Linked DNA regions of Danio rerio. The protein of the gene in region 3 binds, or shares a complex with, the protein of the main gene of each other region. Links are inferred from orthologs where the notes say so. Each region holds a gene or a part of one and is shown on either strand. Other genes may lie near its edges.

Region 1 (3,516 bases), on a different chromosome or scaffold from region 3:
GCCAATGAGGGAATTCATAAAGATAGCCTCTTTGGGGCTGGTGCAGACACTGGCAGGTGCTCTGGGGCTGGAGCCGACACTGGCAGGTGCTCTGGGGCTGGAGCAGACATTGGCGGGCGCTCTGGGGCTGGAGCCATTGTGGTAGAGGAGCCCTTTTTCCTACTACGCTTCCTTATTTTTTGTGACGGAAAGCTGGCCACCCCTTCCAACACTGCAGTATGCTTCACTGTCTGCAGGACTGGTGAAGTCTGTTGCAGGTGCCTTAGTGGGTGATGCTGCAGATGAAGATGGATGGGCTGCAGCAGGTTCAGTCACCACTGGAGGGGTAACGAGTGAGGAAGATCTTTTTCTTCTCCTCAATTTCTTCTCAGTGGGAGGCAGCAGGGAGCTGGGTTCATGTGGGTCTGTAGATGGAATGACAGACCAGATTCTCTCCTGAAGACTTTCATGAGCCTCTCGAAGTACCATGTGGTCTAAACTGTTAATACGAGTAACCCACCAATCTCTGTATCTGGAGAGGATATAGGGGCTTATCAAGAGCAAAGTTCAGGAGGTTTAAAAGAGCCCAGTCATTAAATTTAAGCCCCTCCGCTGCCATTTGGAACCTCTCCGCAAACTCCTACAAGTCCACACCATGTTACTGCAGCCCATGCAGACTGAGAAGCTGTGACATGTGGCTAAAGAAGGAGTCATTCTGCTTGATCTGCTAGGTCCTCATTTTGGGCAGTTAGTACTGTCACGGTTCGGGAAGGATGAGGGAGCGAGGACAAAATTGTAGACAAAATTATTTATTTTAATATGAAACAAACATTCATTTCAAAGGAGAAAACATTAATAAAATAAATAAACAATCAAAACTAACTAGGATGGGAAGGCTGGCAGGGATCAGGACTGTAACACTCAGGACTGGAACAACATGAGAAGAATATAAACAGAAGTAAATTAACACACTAGACTAGACAATAGACGGGAAAGCACATGACACAAAGAGACAACACAAGCCATGTGCTCACGTAAAACGAGACTAGAACACGCAGCCAATGAAGGAACTCATTAACTTTGCATTCACAATAAAGGACAAGACTGAAGCATGTGGCCACAATATAAACACAGAGCCACGTGCTTGGACAACACAAACATAGACGCAAGACAAAAGCACACAATAAACTAAAACACCTTATCTGGCGCTTACACATAAACAACGCGAATGTTTCATCTTAGCGCCAACTGAAACCAAAACCAACCAGATTGAGACGCTGAGAATGAAACACAAACACAAGTACAAGAGTGAGCGTCCCAAGCACGCACAGTTGCCGCGCTCCCGCTTGATGCTACGACGAGATTGATGCTCCCAGAGACACACATAATGACAGAAAACAAGTGCTCGACCCGAGAAAACTTGAGCCGAGCACAACAGAACAAGACAGAGCTAGTGTCCAGACTCAGGACAAGACCAGAGTGGCAGAACCCTGACACCTATGGTTGTGGCATCTGACCACATTAAGTTTTTCCAAAATGATCCAGGTTTGTCCAGATGAGCCTTTTCATGCCTCAAACAACTCTTCTCGTTAGCAGAATGCAGAAAAGTCTTCTTCTGCATCACCTTCCATAGAGCTGTTCTTTGGGAAGAGTGCGCTGAACTGTGGAACGATGTACAATGACATTATTAGCAGTAAGATGTTCCTGGAGCTCTTTGGAGGTGGTCTGTGGTTTATCTGTGATCATTCTAACCATTCTTTGCCTTTGCCTTTCAGATATATTTCTTGGTCTAGCACATCTTTCATTCACCAGAACTGTTCCTGTGGCCTTCCATTTTCTTACTATATTTCTGACTGTGGAGATAGAGACTTTAAACCTTTGTGATAGCTTTTTTGCATTCTTCTCCTAACTCATGATGATAAATGATCCTAGTTTTTAGGTCATTAGGAAGTTTTTTTGAGGTTCCCATGTTGCTACTTTTAGGTTCACAATAAGGAGAAGCACAACTAGCAATCGACTATCTTAAATATCACTTTTCATGATTGCTTGCACCTGTGTTAGGATTGTTAGGTTTACTGAGTCACTCAAATCTATTTTCTTTGGTTGTAATTAATCAGCGTAAAGTTACTACAGGTTTAGAAATTCACACTAAAGATACTTGCATAGCCTATTTTTAAGTTTCAATTTAATTTCACACATCTCAATACTGCTACATTATGTATTTCAGTTCATCTTAAAACCTGTTTATTATGTCAAGAAGCTCAGCTTTCTTCTTCCGTTCCTCTGCCACTGCAGAAAAGAGACTCTGAAAATTGTTTTTCTTCTGCAGCTCCTCCAATAAAGCATTGATCACATCTGATACAAACTGCCTGTAAGAACAAAGATTTTATTGAATAAAGGCTTATTAAAAATTACAAAACATCAGAAAATTGTGTACTTGCCTGTCTTTCTGCACTTTGGCCAGGTTGTCAGAAGCAAGCAGAGTCTGCTGAATTTTGAAGTGCTTTTGGGATTTGAGTTCTCCTGAGAAATTTGACAAACTGCTTCCAGCCATCAGTTGAGCTGTTTTTAGATGCAGTTCGGTCCTTTGCTGCTAAATAAAGAGAGTTACAGTCAGGTCCATAAATATTAAGACATCGACACAATTCTAACACATTTTTGGCTCTATACACCAACACAATGGATTTCAAATTCAATGAAAGTTGACAGCAACAAATTCCATATGCAAATAGCACACTTGAAATGAACTCTGGACCTTTCATCAGCTCACTGTAATTGGGATAATGAGGGAATAACACACACCTGGCCATAAAACAATTGATAAGCCAGTTGTCCCATTACTTTTGGTCCCCTAACAAGTAGGAGGCACATATGCAAACTGTTGTAATTCATGCATCGTTCCCCCCACAGTCCTAAGAATTGCAGGACAGGTGAATTGGGTAGGCTAAATTCTCTGTAGTGTATAAGTGTGTGAATGAGTGTGTATGTTTTTCCCAGTGATCGGTTGCAGCTGGAAGGGCATCCACTGCATAAAACATATCCTGGATAAGTTAAGGGGGTTCATTCCGCTGTGGCGATTAATAAAGAGACTAAGCTGAAAAGAAAATGAATGAATGAGTCTGCAGTTAAAACACATCTTGTTAATTTCATTTCAAATCTACTGTATTTGTGTATAGAGCCAAAAATGTGAGAATTGTGTTAATGTCCCAATATTAACACAATTAATGTGTTAAACGCCTGACGGTATTTAAAATGTGCCATAAAAAAGCAAAAACATGTTTGGGACATGTCTGTTTACAATTACCTAGTATTACTTTTACCCCCATTTTGTCTCAATAAGACATTGAGCTCCAGTTACAACACAAGAGCTGTCTAATAAATTTGCTGTAAGCTGGATCAATCTTGTGAAACCTGTCTAGGTCAAACTTCTTTCTGCGTCAAAATCATATTAAAGTAATAGTTTGCATGAGAGCTGAACACATTTCAGAGCCAACGTTTAAATGAACACACTTGGCGGGGGTTGATGTTCTTCAGCAC
Region 2 (3,516 bases), on a different chromosome or scaffold from region 3:
CTGAATTTCTGATTTGAAGTTCAACATTCTCCTCATCTCTCATCAGTTCCAAAAGAATTTTGTAAAGCTGCAAGTCGTTGTAGGGTTTTGCAAAAGGATCAACCTGAAGATGCAAAATGAACAATCTATTAAACCATTTATAAACTGGGGATTCTCAACGCTGGCCCTTATCACCTTTAACTTCCAAATAATCTTGAAGGCCTTAATAAGGTGTTATTGATAAAGGTTGTAGCTCTGTAGGAAAGGGTCTCCAGGAAAAGGCTTAAAGACCACTCACTCGATTTCAAGGTATTGATGGTACCAATTGAGTTTAGTTTAAATCACACAGTTGACCTGAATATTGTTGGTGAATAAAGGGCCCAAATTGCAAAAAGAAAATATTTACCACCTCTATACACACCATTACCAGTTTGAACTGAATATACAGTTTCTGAAGTGTTGGATTTCAATGCACTAATGTAAGTAGACACACACACAAGATCTATTTGAGTTGCTGCCATGTGACTGATTGAACATATTTCTGTTAAACAGTCTAAAGGGTCTGCATCTATTAATGTCAGGGGAGCATAAATAAAATAAAAAAAATATCTTGATCTTGAACTCAACCAATGAAATTTCTGACCTGAAAGCCAGACACCATCTCAGGAGAAAAATCTTGTCCTTTCTGCGAGTTTGCTGCTGCTTTTGGTTTGATGAAGTTCATCCATGCTGGGATGATCCTGTCGTCCTCTAGATGATAGGTCACCTGAATCTTTCCGTCCGACATCTTGAAGTTCCTTTCAGCCACATCTTTACTTGCAGGTTTAGAAGGATCTCTGTGGAACCGCTCCTCCACACTCTGTTGGAGACGTTTGAATTGAATTAAATAACTTGTTCTATCTGTGGGACGGTTATTGCAAACAATACCGCTAGCAGTGCTCCTGGATTAACATATTTTGTTGATTTTTGACTTGTAGTCCTGTCTTAAAACTGCCTAAACAAGGGATCAGGTATAAATAAGATCAACCAAGAATTCTAAGATTCTAAAGTAACACTGGGTTAAACTGCTTGAAATTTAAAGGTCAAGCTTGTTTAGCTCGTACACTACCTTTATAGGCCTTTGATTAAGAGCCTCTCCAGCCCGAATCACTTTAATTTGTTTTCCATAAACAATATGACGATAATAGAGGAAGTCAGTCCGGTCTTCAAAGGTTTCAGTCATTTCAGATTGCTTCTCAATTCGTCTGGCTAGTCCATCGGTGCAAGTATGACCATAAAAGTCCATCTGACGCTCAGTCTCAGGAACTAACGTCACGTACCTATGGTCTAAGCAAAAGTAACATTTTAAACCGTTTGCTCAGGCAAGTTTTGACATCAGAAACTAATTAAATGTGTGTTTGATTACATTTAAGAGCATCACTTCTTCCAGGTCTAAAATGCTCAGTTGTCACATTGCTGTCTGTGTGTAGCTCCCTCTCCTCAAGATGATCACTTCGATGTTTGAACCATTCCTTTATAGTGTTGGGTTGAGTGCCTTAAGAAAGTGACAGTGTGTGTCTGATTTAACTAACTGCTCGTTTTTGGGTGAACAATCATTTCTACATGATTTCAAATAAAGTAATAAATCTGCTGAAGTCATTTAAGGTCTTACATTCAAGGTCTTTATAAGTGGTAAGTTTGGTCACCAGACCGTCTTTCAGAAGGTATGGCGCAAACTTCTCTAGCTTGGCTTTCCTGTACTGGAGTATTTTCGAACCCCCTGGATAACGCATTTCCATATCTGCAAAAAAGCAGAATGTGATTTATTAAATAATCCTTAGGAATTCTGGAAAATGGATGATAAACACAGAAAGTGAGGGCTTCACCTGGAGGTGGAATGTCTATTTTAGTCACCCAAGATGTAGGCATTTCAAATGCTTTCAGCTCATCAATTTCCTCCTTTAGAAGATAGGAATGTAGGTTAATAACTTTGGATAAAGATTCGGTCTGCTACTGGTACAGTAAGTTAAGTCAATAATGTTGTGGCCCACCTCAAGTTCTACTTACATCTCTAAGCAGAATTTAAAGCAGACCAGTAATTGTAAAATTCCCTAATCCCCACTTGAAGTTCCACTTCAAGGAAATGAGGGAAGCTTACATCCAAGGTCTTAAACTTGATTCCTAGAGGGCTGCAGGTCTGCAGTTTTGCTCCAACTATAATCAAACACAGATGATCCAACTAATCAAGGATTTCAACACTACTAAAGACTATTAAGCAGGTGTGAGTTGGAAGTGATTGGAGCGAAACCATGCAGAGCTGCGGCCCTCCAGGAATTGAGTTTGAGACCACTGGCTTAAATGGACATGATTCATGACCCCTTGATTTTGACCCGAGGGAACAAGTTTGCTTCATATGCACACTCCAGCACCCATAAGTCTCACAATGCAATGTGATTGGTGTTACAACAGTGTAGTTTCCAAGTGCCCAAAGGCATTCCATTTAATCCAATTCAGATGTTCTGGCAGTAGTGGACAGAGATGCAGGTCAACGAGATGTAGGAAGTTAGCAAGTCAAGGGAATAAAACTTGGACTGGAACGCAGCCCTAGTCATACAGTTTATATTAGCTGATCTCCACACAGCTGTTACATTCTGGCTTCTGTTACACTATCCCCACCCCCGCCCCCAAAACCTCACTCCCACGTCAGACACACACTTTGAGTGTTATTCGCATAAGTGTCTTCAGTATTGGAGGCAGGCTCACAAACTAGCTGGCCTTTATTACACTCACCCTCCTAAACCTCATTCCCACCCTGGTCATGGAACCAATGTAACCCTTCAGTTCTACTCGCACTACTCAAAGTGGGATTTAAACTGAAATAAATAATATGGGCGGCAGGTGTGCTTGCAAGAATCATAAAGTCTATAGCATCTGTTGCTAGTGCACCTCTTGATGGCAGTTGAGTGGGGTGTACATACAAACCTCTTACTAGCTGGCCCTCATTATATTTACCTACTCTAAACCTCATTCCCACCAGGGTCACGGCACCAACGTAACCCCTTAATTCTAGCGTCTCTGTTAGGGAAAGAGAAATATCAAGGTCTATCTACACAGCTTTCACTAGCTAGCCACATTACAGTGGCATTAAATTTAAATAGAAAAAAAAATAATGAACAGTCTTTCTGTACTTCCTCCTCGTCTTCCGGCTCTCGGGGTGATTTTTGTTCTGAAATCATTGATATGGATTGGCTAGTAAGTCCACACAGCATGTACTCCCACTTTGATAGATCACCCAAGTCAAACGTCATACTCTGCAAACACAAACAGACACGATAACCTTTACAAAGCTTGTCATCTTCACCCAAAACAATGTCACATCTACGCTAAGAGTTACTGACCCCACAACCGAAAGAGCAGTCTTGCTTGTTGACCCAGTAGTTTTGGTGGTTCCAGATGCTCTCAATACCCACAAAGTTCTCATTGGTGGTCGAATAACCCTTTCCTGTGAGAGGGTCAATAAAGAAGTTTTCAGGTATCTCACGGCTTCCCGAGAGCACC
Region 3 (4,264 bases):
TATTTAAAACCATTATGAATGTATTTAAACTAATATTTAAATTTATATAACTGTTTCACTGTGGGTATTTCTATTTTAATTTATTTATCACATTTATTGGCTATTCAAACATGAAAACAAGTTTTAGATATTTTGTGGCTCTAATAAATGGTTAAACATAGCAATATCCCTGCAGAAAAATCCAGCTTAAACCAGCCTAAGCTGGTAAACTGGTTTAAGCTGGTCGACCAGGCTGGTTTTAGAGGGGTTTTGGTCATTTCCAGGCTGGTTTCCAGCCATTTCCAGCCTGGTCTTAGCTGGTCAGGCTGGAAACTGACCAGCAAAATCCAGCTAAAACCAGCTTGACCAGCCTGGTTTAAGCTGGACATAGCTGGTTTTAGCTGGTCATCTCCCAGCCTGACCAGCTAAGACCAGGCTGGAAATGGCTGGAAATCAGCCTGGAAATGACCAAAACCCCTCTAAAACCAGCCAACCAGCCTAGGCTGGTTTAAGCTGTTTTTTCAGTAGGGGGATTCGAACCCCGTTCTTTATGAAAAGAAAGAAAAATCTGATTGGCTCTGACATTACTTTCACCAGTGGGCAGGTACTTCAATCTGATTTGCTGGTCTCTCACGCGCGTATTCAGTCTCTCTGCGTTTGCTTGAGTTTTGTCCACACTGGCGCTTCATAATTTTCCTGCTTTTGCTCTCCAGAGATCCTCCTGATAAATTGATTATTCCAGAATGTTGATATGGTTTATATATTGCTAAACTATTTAGTAACAATACATGAAAAACTATGAGGTTAAGGTAAATTCTATAATAAATACTAGTGTTTTTGAGAGTTAGGTATACTGCCTATGTTTAAGCCTAGTATTATTTACAAGTTGTTAATGAATGCTTCAGCATACTGTAGTATTAAGAATAATGAACTAATAAAATGAAATACAGAGTGTAGTTTTACTACAGTAAAGTGTGGTGAATTGTAGTATAATATACCCTATACTGTAAAAAAAACTACAGCACTGGGTCATTTGTTTATATTACACTTGGGTTACCATAGCAACTATAATATTACCCCAACAGATTAATTAAAGTACTTTACTATAGTACTGTTCAAAACCCTGTCCATGCCAATAGATGTGTTCAGGGGCCCTGTGGAACAGCTTTTCCTCAAAATGAAGAGGATGACATGGAAAATGTCCTCCACAATCTCATCAATAATGTGGAAGACAGCAGAGACGTGTTCACTTTATTTTAGTTGCCATGATAAAATGGGATTGATAGTGGGATTTATTTAAAGAGTGAATAGTACAGTAGGCTATAATGCCAAATCAAGTTTTTCTTTATTTTTATCACAGTTACATTTCTGCTTGCGTTAGTTATATTTTTGTTTAAATGTTTTTTATTTGATTAGTATGGTGAACCTTTTGAATGTTTAATAAATGTTTGTAAAACAAAATGCATTCTTTACATCCAACCTCTATTCTCTGTGTCTTTAAGTGTTTGAAACTGGAAATATCTCATCATAAAACATACAGCCAAAATGTTATGGTTTATTAGATAAAAAATTGAATATGTAAGTCTATTTTAGTATTTTGGTTATTGTTAATAAATAGTGCCTCAATATAAATCATATCAAAAAGCACAAAAGGAAGAGGAAACACAAGACACAAATTCTATATATAATCTCTGAGAGCGCGCAGGAAAATGTGTGCGTGAGCAGTGCATATTTGAGAGCGAGAAAATTTGCGCGTGAGCAGCGTATATTTGAGAGCTCGCAAGCAGTTTTGTCCACAGAGGAAATCGGTGCACGAGCATCACACAAGGTAGAGAGCAAAGTTCTTCATTGTTATGTGAAGAAAACAACGTTATTGTTTGTATGAAGTAGCCTACTTCATTTAGAATATGTGCTACCATTTTACATTGCTGCTAGACAGATTTGCATCTCCATCTCTTCAGCACACACGAGATTCAATTGACAAAATACCAATTTCACTCAATTTTACTTTGCAGCATACAGGAGTTGTTGGTCTACTGCTGCCTCATTGAGGTTGTTTATGTAGTTTTAGTTAATCACAAGTTGATCACTGAAGACATAACATAGCACAACTAAACTAATGAACTAGACAGCAGTAGACCTGCAATTTCTGTGTGATGTGAGGCAAAATGGACTCTTTTTTTGGTGGAACTCATTCTTGTGCAATAGGCTGTGTAGACGAGACGCAGCACTGTTTAGCACTTTTTTAGAACATTACATTTGTGTTTTTATATATCTAAGCAATGTTCTTTCATCATGTTTAATAAATACAGATCTTACAGCCATACATAATCTGTTAAAATTTTATTTTTCTGTTAAAAAGACTCGAAAAGACTCGAAAATCAAACTATAGGACTTTGGACTTGACTTGAGACTTGTTGCCTTTGACTTGGGACTTGACTCGGGACTTGCCTGTCTTGACTCGGGACTTGACTCGGGACTTGAGGGCAATGAATTGAGACTTACTTGTGACTTGCCAAACAATGACTTGGTCCCACCTCTGGTATCCCCTCTGTGTTTCTGGTCTGCTGCTCCTCCACCGCGCGCTGCAGCATCTGCTCGTCGATGACTCCGGGCTTCTCCTGCTGGCCGCTCATCATACGCCCTGACAGGCGGAGATTAGCGATAGACAGCGGATCAATAACACGGCATCAAGTGTATGAAAACAGCTGCATACAATATCACTCACATGTTCCTATATCTGATTGATTACAGACCTGTCTGGAAATAGCGCTCTGTAACTGTAGCACACGACGGCTGCACGACGCTAACACCGGCGCTAAGCAACCAACCAACAACATCCGGAATATTTTGGAGAATCAGTTGATGTTAGAGGGGATACAGCTGCGACTAGATGTTAATTCATATGAATAACTAAGTGACCCATTCAATTGTATTTTATTAAACCCACACCCCAATATCATATTATGTATAAAATCATCCATAAGGTGGTATTTTTTAACATCTACCCCTACCCTTACCCTAAAAACAACCCTCACAGTAATGTTAAAACAGTAATTAAACGTTTATTATTCATATAATCACATATAAGATGATTCTTTATAACGTCTATCAATACCCCAAGCCTCACAGTAATGTAAAAATATGAATTATTGATGTCAATGTCACAAAAACGAAGCTGCATTGACGTGAGTGTCCGCAGCTGTATCCCTTCTAGACTTCACCTCTCGGTTGTTGACGTCACAAAACAAAATACATTAACATCGCTAAACAAGATTACTTAATTTTTTTATTTTTAAAATTTATATAAAAATTTTTTTTATTGCACATATAAGTACATACAAGGCAAAATTAAAATAAACACGTTCATCAACATTTAAAGAACAGAGCACAAATATTGGGGGATAGATAAAACCTGTCATTTGCACTAATGTTACGTGACTTGGATGAATACTCATGAATATTCATGGTACAGTTTAGTTTCTGAAACACACACACACACACACACACACACACACACACACACACACACACACACACACACACATATATATATATATATATATATATATATATATATATATATATATATATATATATATATATATATATATATATATATATATATATGAGTTTCTGACACATACATTTAAAAGAAGATAAGAAATCCCTACATTAAGGAGTAACACATACGTAAAAATAAAAAATAAAATAAAATAAACAAACCAAAATATAAAATATGTATCTAATACATATCTAAATTATAAACATGTTATATTTGTGTACAAAAGAAATCCGATCATTTAGAAGTAACGCTTATATGAACAAAATAAGGAAGGAAATCAGACTTTTCACGTGATTGACAGCGATATTGATCAATGGATTAAAAGTTCCGCGTGTGTAAACCAATCAGAGTTAGAAGCTTGTAATAGGAAATGGCAGAAAGTTTGGGAGTCCAATAACACAGGGAGACATTATCATAAGATCCAAAAAACAGTAAAGAAAAGCAAAATATCACATAATCTTAGTCGAAGAGAACAAGTTATTTTAACACGTTTAAGAACAGGACATACATTTTTAAATCAAACATTACACATAATGGGGAAACATGAGACAGGTTTATGCAACACATGTCTAATAGATGAGACAGTAGAACATGTTTTAAAAAGGTGCAAAGCATATAAAAATGAAAGAAGAAACCTTAAAGAGGAATTGCATAGTTTAGGATACCAGGATTTCACAATAAAGGGTTTATTAAAAGATGGTTTAGATTCAGGAAGACAAA
Region 4 (3,950 bases), on a different chromosome or scaffold from region 3:
GGACGAAACCTGCAAGAAAAAAGAAAGAAGCAGAGCTACAATTATCACTAATACTAGGCTTTGTATTAAATTTTATTGTGGGAAAAACTTTAGCAAAGTAAATATTTATTTAATCAAATGTTTATTTTATTTTAGTTTTAAGTTTTTACAGGTACTGCAAATTATGTTAAAACACTTATAGTCATATACTGTACGTCTCAGGGATGGATTTAGTGATTTTGGGGCCCTAAGCTGTTCCAGCCATTAGACCCAAAAGTTCTAAAAGGCACCTTTTGTACTTTAATTTTTTTATTATTATTTTGCTGTTATTTCTTATATCAATCAATCTCCTTTTCTACATTTTATCTTAATGCAAAATAATAATAACATGTAAAGCACCTTATAAAACTTTTTAAATCATTTGTTTTCTTAAGATAAATTCACTATAAATAAACAATTTCGTTTTTTAAAACTAAATCTTTACTGATTTGACAGCTGAACTGGTCCATGATTGAAGGTAGGGGAAAATATGATAGAAAGCAATGTTATATATAATATTTATATGTATAATTTATAATTCTAGGTATTTATTTGGGAGCCCTCAGATTAACTGGGGCCCTGAGCGGCCGATTAACTTGCATATTGTTTAAATCCACCCCCAGCACATCTACATGTAGAGGCAAAACATTTGTCTGCTTTAGACACGACAACACATTTTATTAGTGAGATTTTGGCTCACACAGGCCAAATATAGAAAAAGGGAAATCCAAATATTTCCATTGCTCTCTGGTCATTGATTGCAGAACATTTTAAAAAGCCCTGCTCCCTCAATGTTATCGAAGAGAAGGTAAGCGTTTAATTAATGTTTTCTTATTTATTCATTCTTTTCGGCTAAGTCCCTTTATTTTTTATCGCCACAGCAGAATGAACCGCCAACTTATCCAGGATGTGTTTAATGCAGCGGATGCCCTTCCAGCTGCAACCCAGTGCTGAGAAACATCCACACACACTCATTCACACACATACACTACGGCCAATTTAGTTCATTCAATTCACCTATACCACATGTCTTCGGACTGTGCGGGAAACCGGAGCACTAGGAGGAAACCCACGCCAATACAGGGAAAACATGCAAACTCCACACAAAAATGCCAACTGACCCAGCCAGAGCTTTAAACAATGACCTTCTTGCTGACAGTGCTACCCACTGCGCCACTGTGTCGCCTTGTTTTCTCGTTACATCAATTGTTGATGTATATACGGAACATTTTTTAATAAGTTTGCTTTTATTTGGATGCATGCCATTATGTGCTTGCAATTGGGTGTGTAGGAACTGTGGGAATTATACGATCCGTGCAAGTTGATACCTTGGACATTTTGGCTTCATCTTCTAGCACTATATATCCATGTACAGTTGAAATCAGAATAATTAGCCCTCCTGAACTATTAGCCCCGTTGTAAATGTTTTCCCCAATTTCTGTAACGAAAAGAATTTTTTCAACACATTTCTAAACATAATAGTTATAATAACTCATTTGACACATCAAACTGATTTATTTTATCTTTGCCATGATGATGATTTTCAACATACTAGTATTCAACTTAACGTGACATTTAAAGGCTTAACTACATTAATTAAGGTAATTAGGCAGGTTAGGGTATTTAGGCAAGTCATTGTATAATAATGGTTTGTTTTCTAGATAATCGAAAATAAATATTGCTAAAGGGGGCTAATAATATTGACCTTAAAATGTTTTTTTTTTATTAAAGACCATTATTTTAGCCAAAATAAAACAAATAAGACTTTTGCTAGAAGAAAAAAAAAATCCTTGCTCTGTTGAATATCAATTTAAAAATAACTGAGTAAGAAAAAATTATTTACAGGACAGCTAATAATTTTGAGTTAGACTGTATATAAATATATAGATGCATTTGTGTGATTTATCAGTCTGTGACCTTTTAAAAACATTAAGAATAATCTGGGTTTCATACTGTTTTATTTCATTACAGTCTTACTTGCGCTCCAGCAGGATCTTAGTCATAGTTGGAAGAAACTTCTCATAGCGCACAAATCCAGTGGGTTCTTCTTCTTCTAGCTGTGAATGAAATGACACTTCATAACTATTGATCTACTCAACTTACAAGAGCGATGCATTTTATGACCCGGCAAAACAAAACCACTGACCTCAGAGATGATATCATGCAATTCAGCTTCTGAAGGAAAACAGCCAAGTGAACGAATGATGGTGCCTATTTCCCTTTTACGGTGAAAAATGACAGATAACATTAAAGAAGTCTTCCTTGTTTGTAGAACATGTGCAGAACAAAGCTAACAGACATCAACAAATGGTCTAATATATTTTGAAAAACAGCGTAGTGAAACGTTACCTGACATCAACAGTCTTGTTGGATTCATGGTCAAATACATCAAAGGCATTCCCAATCCTCTTTTGAGTTTCTATTATAATATTTTCTGATAAAAAATACATTAATTAACGTTGTGTTTTTCCGCATTTTTATTTTATTTTGTGTGTGTGTGTTTACAAAGCAATTCAGCTGTAGATGTTCGCTGTCTGTGTGGTCTTTTACTGTTACTTTAACTACTCGACGTTAACAAACAACGTTACTGAAAACTTTTCAAACATCATTGATCTGGTAACAGTCGTAGTAATGGCAACTGTATTTAAAAACACGTCATGCTGAGAATACAAACACCATTAATAAGCATACAGTAAGCCCACAAACGTAAAAAAAGCGTAGCATTTTACGTGTAGCATCTTTACCTGCATTATACTTGTCCGCCATGTCTAAAACCCTGGTTGCTAGGTAACCTGAACACACTCGCCATTCAGACGGAGGGCAGGAAGTGGTTCTTCTACGTAGGAACCGCTTTCAGAAGTTTAAAAAAATGTTTCTGTTTATGCTGTTTATGATTGTTTAAATCGACCAAAATAAGAAATGCCGAACATCTTTTATAGACTAGCAAAAGTTTTTGCTCACAAAAGGGGAAAGTTCAGTACTGACTAAAAAAACAGAAGAAAAGGAAGAATGTAAGGAACATTTTTATACATCCTTTGTACAAGCATGAACGCGATTATTCGTTTGAAAGCACCAATAAAGAGTACATGTCTAAATTACCTATGTGTATAAATATGTCAGTGTTAAATAAAAATCAGAAGCACTTATACAATCCAGGAGAATATATAGGCTAAATAGTACCTGCTATAGTAATAAATAATCACATAGTCCAAACACTAATATTTCAGAGTTGCCAAAATGCGTGAAAGTCACGCAATTGACCGTATTCTCACGCTCTCACGCCACACATCAGTTTTCTCACGCAGTAAAATCATCTCCGTGAAATATTTATTCCGTTATAAAAAAACTCCCTATGATGTATGTAGCCTTGCTGTAGTCAACCTAAAACCTACAGTAGGTTGACACAAAACCAAAACAACACCCATTCTTGTCTTAGGACATTTTATTTGGCAAATGTTAAAATAACAGTAAGTTTATGACATGTTAAATATATAGTATAATTTGCTGGTTTTAAACATACAGCATATTAATAATAATAAATATAGTATAACAATCATAACATAACATCAAATGTTGACTAATGAAGGTACATTTATAACAACTATTTATTTGTTAGACTACTGTATTGTCAAACCATGTTGCATACAAATGCATTCAACAGACCTATATGACAGTGCATTGCTGTAGAGGACAAATAAAACGAGACAGGTGTTTAGAAAGAGTATAGTTTATTTAGTTTGACATGCAAACTTATCTAAACAAAGACACACTTTCAGAAAACAGCCCGAAAACATTATAATGCGCGCGCTCGTGATTATAACCCGCGGTTGTCTTCAACTGTTGTCTTCAATAGTCCTTCTTTGCTCAAAATCTCAGCTGAAAAACAAAGCAAAACATCACAACAGTCAGACACAGAAGAGCATAGAATTACC
Region 5 (3,516 bases), on a different chromosome or scaffold from region 3:
TTACTTTAGGTATTTTAAAGTGAAATTAATAGTACCGCTAGAATATTTGTGGCAAAAGCTTATTTAAGATCACTGAGTTGAATATTTTTATATAATTTTGTCTGACACTACAAAACAAATATCTGTTATTTATCTGGTGTCCGAATTTTGTAATTCACAGGTGTTTTACAAATGTTGTAATGTTTATGAATTTTATTATGGACCTTGATCTTTGTTCTGTCAATTTACAGCGTGTTTATCTATTTGTGTTTGCATTGTGAGGATTTGCAGTACAATATTAATTTATGTTTCTGTAGTGAGGCTTTGCAATGTGTGTCAAACCGACTAAGATGTTTTCCTAATTTGCCGGTATTTATTTATTTATTTTTTTCTATTCGCATGTGTCTTCTTAGGTTGCAGCACGTTAAGCTCTCTCGGGCCACAATAAATAACACTTACCTGCACACAGATGTCAGTTAAGGTGGGAAGATCATTCAACACAATCTGTTGAAGTGAATTGCAAGTCTCTGCAACACATGTAAATCCATCCACAGTTATCTAAAAGTACAAAATGAAAACTGTATTTGATCACTCTGGGATAAAGTCAAGAGTAGTTAAATGTGTAATAAAAATAGGATTGACTAACTAAGTATTTCTTAGAGGACATGACATAACTTTGAAAAACTAACTTTTGGGTACCTTTATTTATAATCATGTAGTAGTAAATTAAATATATTGTATATTTGCATCATATAACCAATAACACCAACTAATAGAAAGCCTAAGATACTTTTTTTAAATGATACAGTAGAATAGTTTGCAAGTCAAAACTAACCTGGGAGCAACCGGAGAGGTTAAGATGGCGGAGTCTGCGACAACCCGTCCCTGTGGTCAGATACTGCAGGTCTTTATCAGAGAAATGAATGCAATATGCCAGATTCAGAGACCGCAGCATCACACAGCATCTACTAAAAACATTCAGTACAGAAAAAAACTTCAGTCATTGTTGAGTACAGTCTGAAGATCTGAGAAACATAAGACTTTTGTACCTTGCCAGGACTTTTATTGTGGCGTTGGCAATGTGAGTGCAGGCCAGATTAAGACTGAGGAGAGACTGACATCCCTCTAAAATCATCTTCATATTTTCATCCTGTCAGTGTGTTTTCAAACAAAACACACGCCAGTTTTGAAGAGCCGAAAATTAAATAAGCAGAAAACTCCTAAGACTATGAACTGTATACTTGCATTAACAGTTGGACATTCACTGAGATCCAGTTCTTGAAGATTCCTGCATTGACCTTTAAAAACAAAAGTATTCTGTATCTTTATGAGGTTAACAAAGCAGAAAATAAATGCAGTTGTTTGGTAAATGAAGGTAAATGTACTGATGCGTCTGAAACTTAGTCTTTGCACCATGTTGCAACCACACAGGTTTACAGAGATCACATAAACACGGTGAAGCCGCAGGATTCTCTCCACCATCTGATCTGTGATCCAGCTGCTCTCTGGAGAGAAATCAATCTGTGGAAATACATCTCACAGGTTACACTGTATATGAAGCCTTTAGCACACTTAGCAAACGACACTATGTCAAAACGACATAAACAACATTTTAAAAAACTCAGCAACAATGCTAATGCGTCCATTTGACATCTACACACTGATGATTACACTGGATTATATTGTAGATTGTAGATTGTATCCTTACAATGCATGTACAGTAAAGTACCTTATTGTCAAAACAACATCAAATTGACATCTTACATTTGCATAAAAACACGTCAAAAAATCGATTACAGGATAGTTTTTGATTCGTCTTCTTCTGAGTTAACATTTATAAAAGTCTGGTCTTAAAGTATTCCTAAAACTTGAAGCTTAAACTACCAAACTCACATTAGACAGTCATTCTGATCAACATGTTTATGCAATATAACTTCTAAATGATCCTCAAAATAAAGAAATCCCAAAGACTTTCATTGCCAGGCTTTAACTTTCAGATCTTAAGCTACTTGCAAACTAGAAAAGCCTATCAACTAGCATACAACGTGCTAACCATGCAAGAAACATGCTTGCTGGATAACACTGTAATTTATGCTGGAGACATGTTATTTGCTATCAACTTTATGCTTGAAATTAATTTGTGCTAACAGTATAGTGGAATTTACATTAGCAGCTAGCTTATTGTTAGAAGCATAAATGCAAATTCACTAATAAAGCATAGTTAACATACTAATACTTTTTATTCATATTAGAAAGATGGTATTTTAAATTATAAACATGGTAACAGCATGCTAATTGCTAACAACAAGATATGCCAGTTCATGTTAGATACATATATTTAAGTTTGAAACATGTAGATTGTTGTTTGAAATATGCGAGCAACATGCTAATTCATGTGAGAGGCACACAAACAAAAGTCTAGCTAGCAACATACAGTAATAGTGCTTGTTATAAAATAAACAACATGCTAAATCATGTTACAAACATACTAATTCATGTTAATAATTTCTCTAACATCTAACAACATAAAAATTTAGAAATCTTTGTCAAGACAACATTAAGTTTTACCATAAAAATTTCCTCATTTTGATTTCCAATTGATATAATATTTTTTGTCTGTGAGTTCAATGGGAAATAAATCTTGTTAGCTTTTACCTTAATTCCACATAAGAAGGTAATTTAAATTTGGAACATGAGGGTTCAATGAGGGTGATGTTAAAGCATTACTAACTGACATTTCATTGAATCTGCCTTGTATTTAATGAGCATCTTATATTTTCATGCATTGTCACAAATGAAACAACACTTTCAAGTGCAAGTACACAATATGCTTTAATATAATTATTAATATAACATCATTGTGTTTAAAAAAGGGCAAATCTGTTGATTTTCTTATATACTTTTACTATATTCTTAAAGATTTTATGTATACAAATATTAAACATGCACTTCTAAATTCTAAAGGGAAAATTTGACAGTTTTTAGGTCAGCTGCACTAACCTCAGTCCACAGTGAGCTGATTTGAGTGATTGCTTTCCATGATTGACAAACCTGAGCACATTTCAGCAGGTCTCGCACACCTAGACTTTGGAAGATCTGCACCAAACGGTTCATTTCAATCACAGCTGATTGTACGTTTTTGCCAGTTATTTAACAGTTAGTGGTAGTCAAATGATACCTTGAGAAACAGCCTGTTGGGCAGCAGTGACAGATTGTCCTGTCCATCACCCTGTGGTATGCCTGAGTTCTGGCTTTCCTTCATATCTCTTTCTAGTTTCTGAACAGACATGTATAATAGCTGAATATCTCATGAATTCAATGCATTTGGGTTTAGCTGATTGTTTTAATAATTATACCTTAAAGTATTCCTTTGTTCTTTTAGCGTCCTGCACAACATGACGCCAAGCCGTGATGATTTTTCTGCAGTGTACAGACTCTTGAACCTTCTGTAGTTTCCTCTCTGCATCTAGATAAATTAAAGAATGCCTTGTTTCATGATATATAGAGAGAACAGAAATAATAACACACTAAATTTAT

Evidence for each region.
Region 1: drc3 (region 3) and drc9 share a complex: the UniProt entries of both Homo sapiens proteins name them as parts of the nexin-dynein regulatory complex. The link is inferred for Danio rerio from reciprocal best matches to the Homo sapiens genes DRC3 and DRC9.
Region 2: drc3 (region 3) and ccdc135 share a complex: the UniProt entries of both Homo sapiens proteins name them as parts of the nexin-dynein regulatory complex. The link is inferred for Danio rerio from reciprocal best matches to the Homo sapiens genes DRC3 and DRC7.
Region 4: drc3 (region 3) and drc8 share a complex: the UniProt entries of both Homo sapiens proteins name them as parts of the nexin-dynein regulatory complex. The link is inferred for Danio rerio from reciprocal best matches to the Homo sapiens genes DRC3 and DRC8.
Region 5: drc3 (region 3) and fbxl13 share a complex: the UniProt entries of both Homo sapiens proteins name them as parts of the nexin-dynein regulatory complex. The link is inferred for Danio rerio from reciprocal best matches to the Homo sapiens genes DRC3 and FBXL13.

The regions. Positions count from the first base shown.
Region 1 is NC_133193.1:29,299,075-29,302,590, forward strand, and holds part of drc9 (dynein regulatory complex protein 9), read right to left. Parts: intron 2,573-3,516; coding exon 2,421-2,572; coding exon of another isoform or gene 2,417-2,420; intron 2,349-2,416; coding exon 2,220-2,348; intron 1-2,219. UniProt on the Homo sapiens protein: Component of the nexin-dynein regulatory complex (N-DRC), a key regulator of ciliary/flagellar motility which maintains the alignment and integrity of the distal axoneme and regulates microtubule sliding in motile axonemes.
Region 2 is NC_133200.1:14,669,352-14,672,867, reverse strand, and holds part of ccdc135 (dynein regulatory complex subunit 7), read right to left. Parts: coding exon 3,357-3,516; intron 3,270-3,356; coding exon 3,147-3,269; intron 1,918-3,146; coding exon 1,845-1,917; intron 1,760-1,844; coding exon 1,631-1,759; intron 1,514-1,630; coding exon 1,385-1,513; intron 1,306-1,384; coding exon 1,088-1,305; intron 839-1,087; coding exon 623-838; intron 104-622; coding exon 1-103. UniProt on the Homo sapiens protein: Component of the nexin-dynein regulatory complex (N-DRC) a key regulator of ciliary/flagellar motility which maintains the alignment and integrity of the distal axoneme and regulates microtubule sliding in motile axonemes.
Region 3 is NC_133178.1:67,109,745-67,114,008, reverse strand, and holds the start of drc3 (dynein regulatory complex subunit 3), read right to left. Parts: upstream 2,811-4,264; 5' UTR 2,736-2,810; intron 2,624-2,735; 5' UTR 2,619-2,623; coding exon 2,517-2,618; intron 1-2,516. UniProt on the Homo sapiens protein: Component of the nexin-dynein regulatory complex (N-DRC) a key regulator of ciliary/flagellar motility which maintains the alignment and integrity of the distal axoneme and regulates microtubule sliding in motile axonemes.
Region 4 is NC_133192.1:12,696,993-12,700,942, reverse strand, and holds the start of drc8 (dynein regulatory complex protein 8), read right to left. Parts: upstream 2,801-3,950; 5' UTR 2,785-2,800; coding exon 2,763-2,784; intron 2,453-2,762; coding exon 2,368-2,452; intron 2,238-2,367; coding exon 2,165-2,237; intron 2,076-2,164; coding exon 1,996-2,075; intron 10-1,995; coding exon 1-9. UniProt on the Homo sapiens protein: Component of the nexin-dynein regulatory complex (N-DRC), a key regulator of ciliary/flagellar motility which maintains the alignment and integrity of the distal axoneme and regulates microtubule sliding in motile axonemes.
Region 5 is NC_133200.1:19,757,548-19,761,063, forward strand, and holds part of fbxl13 (F-box and leucine-rich repeat protein 13), read right to left. Parts: intron 3,446-3,516; coding exon 3,336-3,445; intron 3,257-3,335; coding exon 3,158-3,256; intron 3,076-3,157; coding exon 2,980-3,075; intron 1,501-2,979; coding exon 1,225-1,500; intron 1,130-1,224; coding exon 1,029-1,129; intron 948-1,028; coding exon of another isoform or gene 945-947; coding exon 815-944; intron 538-814; coding exon 439-537; intron 1-438. UniProt on the Homo sapiens protein: Substrate-recognition component of the SCF (SKP1-CUL1-F-box protein)-type E3 ubiquitin ligase complex.